Linked DNA regions of Daphnia pulex. The protein of the gene in region 1 interacts with the protein of each later gene in a pairwise test. Links are inferred from orthologs where the notes say so. Each region holds a gene or a part of one and is shown in the gene's direction. Other genes may lie near its edges.

What was found.
Region 2: the proteins of chromatin assembly factor 1 p55 subunit (region 1) and histone acetyltransferase type B catalytic subunit-like interact in a two-hybrid assay, tested with the Caenorhabditis elegans proteins (4 studies listed by BioGRID). The link is inferred for Daphnia pulex from reciprocal best matches to the Caenorhabditis elegans genes lin-53 and hat-1.

The regions. Positions count from the first base shown.
Region 1 is NC_060023.1:6,455,853-6,459,852, reverse strand, and holds chromatin assembly factor 1 p55 subunit, read left to right. Parts: upstream 1-1,191; 5' UTR 1,192-1,329; coding exon 1,330-1,348; intron 1,349-1,410; coding exon 1,411-1,558; intron 1,559-1,627; coding exon 1,628-1,773; intron 1,774-1,833; coding exon 1,834-2,038; intron 2,039-2,111; coding exon 2,112-2,484; intron 2,485-2,554; coding exon 2,555-2,767; intron 2,768-2,831; coding exon 2,832-3,011; 3' UTR 3,012-3,171; downstream 3,172-4,000. UniProt on the Caenorhabditis elegans protein: Core histone-binding subunit that may target chromatin assembly factors, chromatin remodeling factors and histone deacetylases to their histone substrates in a manner that is regulated by nucleosomal DNA.
Region 2 is NC_060025.1:914,384-918,499, forward strand, and holds histone acetyltransferase type B catalytic subunit-like, read left to right. Parts: upstream 1-1,291; 5' UTR 1,292-1,504; coding exon 1,505-1,511; intron 1,512-1,613; coding exon 1,614-1,682; intron 1,683-1,745; coding exon 1,746-1,821; intron 1,822-1,884; coding exon 1,885-2,008; intron 2,009-2,065; coding exon 2,066-2,207; intron 2,208-2,279; coding exon 2,280-2,436; intron 2,437-2,498; coding exon 2,499-2,710; intron 2,711-2,776; coding exon 2,777-2,928; intron 2,929-2,990; coding exon 2,991-3,107; intron 3,108-3,169; coding exon 3,170-3,310; downstream 3,311-4,116. Other genes in the region: methionine aminopeptidase 1D, chloroplastic/mitochondrial-like, read right to left, coding at 73-223, 307-362, 433-568, 656-887, 950-1,053.

The DNA.
Region 1 (4,000 bases):
GTATGGGTGTCTTTCGTGCAAAAGCTTATATCGTACCATGCTGGATGAATGATGATGATGAATATATTGGGTCCGATCGAATCTACAATGAATTATTGTTCAAATGAACGGAAGGCCAACAGCTAACTTAAATTGTGGAATATCTCTTTTGAAATGAGAACAGAAGTTGACTTCAATTTTGGACCATTGTTATGATAATATCTCAACCGGCATTTCCATCCATTATTACTCCTCATATTCCTCATACTCCTCATACTACACGTAATGCTCGGCGAAATATATATATATATATATTTCATTTGGTTGAAGCACTACGTTATTAGCCTTTAGTGAATGTTGTGATAGCAGAAAATTTTAATCCAATAAATACGTTATGAAGGAATGGAAAGAAATGACGGTGTTTTCAAATCATTAATTTTTCTTAGACGCAGTAAAAAATAATCCTATTAACGCTGTACAACTTCTATACTGAACTCAATTAAATTTATGGCAAAAAATACACTGTGCAATGAAAGAGAATTTTGAAGTGGTTTACTCGTCTTGCTATCTTCTAGTTCAAATATCGGTTTGATTGTCTGATGACGGAAAATATTACATTGTTTAACGGATGGCCGGAGGAGGCTTTCTTCATGATTTACTGTGAACCATTTCCTAGAGCGCCAATCGCCTTTACATTGTAACAGGTAGATCACTTTAACCTTGACAACAAAGGTGAAGCACCTTCAAATTTCCTTCCATTGTTTTGGCATCTAGCGCTAAACCACTATGAAATTAATTATGCGCAACAGAAAAAGCTTGAGAAAAAGTTAAAATCATATTGGGCATCGGAAAACCATTAAAATTTTGTGGAATTAAGCATTGATATATTTTTGAAAGCAAATATTTTTTTCTAGAAAAAATAACTGTATTCCTATAACAATATAACTGTTTTTATGCCTTACACTGCCTTACATGAAGATTTTTTCCTAGACCTACCCACAGGCATACAAATCTCTCAACACCCATGGCCTACCTAAATATTGTTTTTAATTATTACTAATTAAATTTAATTTTTAAATCAGACTTTTGAAGTAGGCAAATTCTTTTAATTTGACAACAATTTTATTATTTTCAAGATTTTTTTCTTTAAAGACATGACCATGCCATCTATGAACGGCAAAATAAACTATTGAAGTAGTTTCGACTTTTTCCAAAGTGGCACCACTGGAATTGCTTTCGTTTTTGCCGCCATTTAACAAAGCAGCACGCTCAAAAGTCTCTGCTAACCGAATCTATTGCTTGACAGGTTCCAGCCGGTTCATCATTAGTAAAGGACTTGATTGACTAACGATGGCAGATAAAGATGGAGGTATCTGTTGAAATCATTCTTTGTTATTGGATGACAGTGAAATTTAATCCAATCTTTTTTAGAGCCCTTTGATGAAGCAGTGGAAGAACGCGTCATCAACGAGGAATACAAAATTTGGAAGAAAAATACTCCATTTTTGTATGATTTGGTTATGACACATGCTCTGGAATGGCCTTCACTTACAGCTCAATGGCTTCCTGATGTTACAAGGTAAATTACTGAGAACAAAGGTGTTTTATTGTTTCTTTCTAACTGTTGAATGTTTCTTTTCTCCGTTAGGCCTGAAGGCAAAGACTACTCAGTGCATCGTCTCATCCTTGGTACTCACACTAGCGATGAACAAAATCACCTCTTGATTGCATCTGTCCAGCTTCCTAATGAGGATGCTCAGTTTGATGCTTCACATTATGACAATGATAAAGGAGGTAGTCATTTAACTTGATCAAATCTGTTGCACTATTGTTTTAATGCTTCATCTCTATCAGAGTTTGGAGGCTTTGGATCAGTGAGTGGTAAGATTGAAATTGAGATCAAGATCAACCATGAAGGAGAAGTCAACAGGGCTCGCTACATGCCCCAGAATCCTTGTGTGATTGCCACTAAAACACCTTCATCTGACGTCTTGGTCTTTGACTACACAAAACATCCTTCTCGCCCTGATCCTAGTGGAGAGTGCCACCCTGATTTACGGTGAGTCATTTTTTATTCAAATGATTTCTTATGACCTAAACTTGTTACTCACAACTACATTATCTTTTTTTAGTCTGAGAGGACACCAGAAGGAAGGTTACGGTTTGTCTTGGAATCCAAACCTTAATGGTCACTTGCTGTCAGCATCTGATGACCACACCATTTGCTTGTGGGATATTAACGCATCGCCGAGAGAGAATCGTGTTCTCGACGCCAAAACCGTATTCACTGGCCACACAGCAGTTGTAGAAGATGTCGCTTGGCACTTGCTTCACGAGTCCTTGTTTGGTTCCGTTGCCGATGATCAGAAGCTTATGATTTGGGATACTCGCAGCAATAACACCAGCCGGCCCTCCCATACCGTGGATGCTCATACGGCTGAAGTGAACTGTCTGTCATTCAATCCTTACTCCGAATTTATTTTAGCTACCGGATCTGCAGACAAAGTATTCATTTAATATTAAAATCTACTATTTATTCTACTCAACTAAACATGTCTCCAAATTGTATTTCTAGACTGTAGCTCTTTGGGATTTGAGAAATCTTAAACTCAAATTACATTCGTTCGAGTCGCACAAGGATGAAATCTTTCAAGTCCAATGGTCACCGCATAATGAGACTATTTTGGCTTCGTCTGGCACCGACCGACGCTTGCATGTCTGGGACTTGTCCAAAATTGGAGAAGAACAATCCACCGAAGATGCCGAAGATGGCCCTCCAGAATTGTTGGTAAGTTGAAATATTGATGCGATTGTTTGATTCGGATGCTGTTTAATTATTGAATTCTCAACAGTTCATTCACGGTGGTCATACGGCCAAGATCTCTGATTTCTCCTGGAACCCGAATGAGCCCTGGGTCATCTGCTCCGTCTCTGAGGATAACATCATGCAAGTTTGGCAAATGGCTGAAAATATTTACAACGACGAGGAGCCTGAGACGCCAGCCTCAGAACTGGAAACCCCTACTAATTAATGCATTTCCAGTGTATCGCCCTATACCCTATTTCTCATCGTTTGATTCTTTACTGTCCCACGTACACGCTCATCTTTTTTTTAACATTCAAATCTTCGAATTTGGCCCTTACATCGCTTGGAGATCCAAGTTTGTGTATTCAATAAATAGCTTTCCGCGATTTGGTTCAATTTGAATTATTCTAATTACTGCCGTTAATTAGGTTACTAGTCCATTTGCAGTCCATTAAGTGGGTTGTGATGAAATTTCAATAAATGGTTGAAAGACGCTCTTATTCAGAACAAAATTCGACTCTTGATCGCCTGACCCTATGACGCAATCATTAGATTTCGAAAGCTAAATAACAGTAAATTGCCTAATTCCCGACTGTTCTAATTATTCGTGATTTTGTATTTGTACATGTTCGACTGTTTTCTTTGAACTCGGATTTCTAATCTGTGATGTTTGGATTTAGAAGCCAACAGCATATCCGTCTTGACCGTGAATCAACATTGTTCGGCTCACACTGGCCCGCCAGCAAGCAGCAGGTAAACATCTATCGTCTTCAGCTGGGTGTGGGCATCATGCGGCAGTAAAAAAGTTCCTCTCCTACCCGTGAATAAGTGTAGAGGACCGATGTTATTTATTATTCAACCTTGAAAACGCAATTAAAGCGCTTGAGGTTGAGCATGACGAAGACTCCAGCAGCATCCTCAACACCGTGTTCGGCCAAGGTCCGTCTGGATGGTTGGACCCCGTATTGGGATTGAGAAAACGCCAACATTTGTTATGTTTATGGATCGCGAAATGTGAAAATCGATTCCACATTTTCATAATGTTTTTGTTTGTTTGTTTTTTTCGCTTTTTTGTCAGTTGAAATATGCCTTGCAAAAACGTGACGCATCGGTTTTTCAAGGGCAGTTACCCAAACGCCCAAAACAAAGGCGCGCAATATTTTTTTCCAATATCCGCAAACGACTGAAATAAAATTCATTGAAAATACCGGCATC
Region 2 (4,116 bases), on another chromosome or scaffold:
ATGGTTAACAACAATGTTCTGTCATCAGCGCAAGAGCAAAAAAACAAACAGACTTTCAATGATGTTGATTACCGATATTGTTATATGGTCTCCCCGGATGACATATTGCCACAGCTTCATCTAGGCATATTTTGGTGACATCCACTAATTCCTTTCCTTGTTCATCGACATCACCAACTAGGAAAGTCTCTGAAACGTCGCCGTGGAAACCGTTTAGATACACCTATGGTACGAATTTCAATAAGTCTTCATTATTCGTATCAAATTGACGGAAAAAAAACACAAAAAAAACAATTTACAACTCACAGTGACATCCACATTTATAATATCTCCATCAATTAAAGGTCTGTCATCAGGTATACCTAAGTTGGAAAATGCACAATAAGTAAAGCTCAAGCATATAATAGATATTAATTCCAAAATAGTACAAACCATGACACACAACATTGTTTACAGAGGTGCAAACAGACTTTGGAAATCCCTTATAATGTAGAGGTGATGGGTAAGCTCCGTGAGAGATAATAAACTCATACACACATTTGTCAATTTCCTCAGTTGTAGTTCCAACCTGTAAATCCAAACATACTGTTTAGATATATTTCTGTTTCAATCATGCCATGTTACCAATTCGGCAATTCCTAATACATTCTTTTACCTTAACCAGCTCTTTTGCGTACCTCAGGGTATTTTTTGCAAGGCTACAGGATGCCCTCATGCATTCTATCTGTGTGCTGGATTTGATCTCTGGTTGAGCAGAACTAGGGAATGTGCCATTTACATCATTTATGTACGGTGGCTTCACAATATTTGATGGAACACATCTTGGCTCCAGAACTACATGGCCTGGTTTCTTTATAACTTGGTAATTTCCGAAATTTTGATTTTTCCTGTTAAAAATGTTTAGTTATTTCTATATATTTATCAGGTTTTAATGAGATAGCAAAAATACTTAAACCAGGAGATATTTCTTATATTCCGTTTTATTTGCATTAGGTTTTGTGACGATGAGAGTGTGCTACCAAGTGAAGTAGCCCATAGTCTTTTAAATAGCATATCTGTCAAAATCTTATTTAAGTAAGAAAGTGTTTAGGCTAGTATTTGAATAATTTGTTAATTTTGTTCTATAAAATCGAATTTGACTGAGTGTTAAGCAGAAGAAAACTCAGGCTTTGTTGACATTTCACAAAAGATTTTTGTCTGCTACATATAACGCGGGAAAAAGAGCTATCGCCATCTACTGTGTGCAATTATCACTATCATTGCATTAGGGTTTCTGCAACCTCCTTCTTCTTTTAAGTTGTTTGGGCTAGAGAACATGGATCTCCAAATCGGTTGCCCAATCCCTCCAACAACCTTTTTCGCGGTCAGTAGTGATTCAGTAGTGATTCAGTTCGTCAGAAGTTTTTGCATGCCGCCCGCCTGTGCATTTTAGAAAGTAGCAAATTATTATTAGCACTTGTTAAGTCATAGTGCAGCTTAATTTATATTAACTATTCATATTGAAATGGAAGGTAATGCATTTCATAGGAATTTGTTTTAGAATATTACAAAACAACTTCCAACATAATTCATTACACCAAAATGCTTGCTAACTTTTCTTTTTACGTTGCTAGGTTCTTACAAAAAAAATGTACTTCAGTCATTCATCATCGATTCGAACGAAGCTCTAGATTTTAAGTTAGGTAAGGAATTTAATTTATTGCTAAAGCTTTTACTGAATCATGCAATTTTTTTAATTTATACAGTTCGAGAACCTTCTGATGTTGATAATGATGAAACTACCTTCAAACCAGAAATGTCTCATCAAATTTTTGGAGAAAAGTATGTCCAAGTAAAAACATTGAGAATCATTTAATCAATTATAAATTATTTTGTTTCCCCAAGTGAAAGCATATTTGGTTACCAGAACCTCAAAATTAGCTTGTACTACACTGCAGGAAAACTAAACACATACCTTGGAATGAATTACAGTAAAAAAGTTGATCCCAAGCAATTTGAAGGAGCTACAGTGAGTCCCCTTTTTATTTGAATTGTGTGATGTATTTGAACTACTTTACATTATTAGGCTGATGATGTAATGGGAGCCATCACTCCTAAACTTCCACCTGGTTACATGACTAACCTTGATGACTTTCTCGTAACCCTAAACAAAGAACAAAGCTTCAAACCTCCTGGTGAACTTCTTTCAACATACTCTATAAACAAAGGTACTAATACTACAGATTACAAAGGTTCACAGATTTTGTAGATGCTTTGAGTCATCACAATCCCATTTCCAGGTTCGGCCGCAGAAAAGAATTTTGAATTGTACAGTTGTACGATAGAAGAACCTAGTTTTCGATCATACCACGAGCGATTGCAAACTTTCCTCTTGTGGTATGTGGATGCAGCTAGCTTTATCGACGTTGATGATGACCGCTGGCGCTTTTACTTAATGTAATAACTTTTAGATATTCATCTAATCCGATGTTTTTCATTTGAGACTGTATCTTCTGCAGATTCGAAAAATATCCTTGTGATGGAAGTCATCGATATGCTCTGTGTGGATATGCCACAGTTTACCTTTATTTTGCTTATCCTAATAAAACTCGGCCTCGCATCAGCCAGTTCTTAGTTTTGCCACCTTTTCAACGCGTAGGTCTTGGAGCAGAACTTCTAAACACCATTTATCGTTCATTTCTTAAGGATTCCAACATACTTGACATCACAGGTATGTATCAGTGTTAACAGATGTTTGGAGAATTGTTACTCATGCTTTGTGTCTATTTTTTAACAGTTGAAGATCCTTCGGAAGAATTCACTCGTCTTCGTGATTTTGTCGACGCTCAAAATAGCAAAAAACTATCGTCTTATTCTAAAGAAAAACTTCAACAAGGATTTAATGCTGAGATGGTGGAAGATGCTCAACGAGAGCTTAAAATCAACAAAGTAATATTAATAACTTGGTTTCACAACTGACTCTAAAATTGTTATGCTCCAATTGTATTCAGAAACAAGCAAGGCGTGTTTATGAAATCCTTCGTTTCGAGGCAACCAACCTAGCGGATGTCGAAGAATATCGTGCCTATCGCTTAGACGTAAAGCGTCGCTTGAATATTCCCTATCAGGTGGGTCCGAGCTTGTTCGATTAATCAAATTATACCCAATATAATTTACTTTTCCATTACAGAAAGAAGCATCAGATTACAAGAAATTACAAAAGGCCCTCAATGCAGAGGAACTTCGCTCTACCCTATCTACTTCAACTAAGGAACAACGGATTGAAAACCTGGACAAGCAATATCAAATGCTAGAAAATGAGTACAGGTAAAATTCCTACTAAGCTGGGAAAACATGTTTGGATTGTCATTTGTCATTGATCTGCTTCAATAGTAAACACTTACTGCACGTGGCACATCAAATCAGGTTACTGCGCCCTATAATTTTGCTTTCATAATACATTTTAGTCGCTAAAATTTGACAGTAGCCTTATCTTGAGTCGAAGTGGCCTTGGATTGATATTTAAAAAAAAGCAACTGATCGTCTGGTTGTGTGTGGTTAATATAATCCCTAATGCGTCATTTCTTATTGATGTAACTCATTTACTGTTAAGTAATGTTTCTTTTGCTTATGTATTCACGTACAAAATATTCTGTGAACTATAATTATTAAATGCGTTTGATTCGAATCATCATGAACATGAAGTCATGATTAAAGCAGTCTCTTCGGTATTACTTTTTGAACAGAGCGCCATTACCCATTATTATTTCATCAGACACCTAGTGGAGAAATCATGTACTGTTTCCTGTGCCAACTACCATATTGGATATTGATCGTCAGTTCGTCACCTCCGGTCACCTCGGCTGCTTTGTTCCCGCATGGTTTTTCATCAATGGGCGTCGATTCTTCTGTCTTCTCGAATACCATTAAGTAACCATTTCATATTCCATTAAAGTTATTGTTAATAAAAGTAATGCCAATCACTTAAGTTAAAAAACGTAAAAATATCTGTATGGACTGTGTCATTAACGTCAAACGAATCTCAAATGTTGGATATTTCAGTATGATGAAAACGTGATTTTCTCTTTTTACTTTATTTTTCATCATGTCATCTAACATCTGAACTTGCCAATTCCA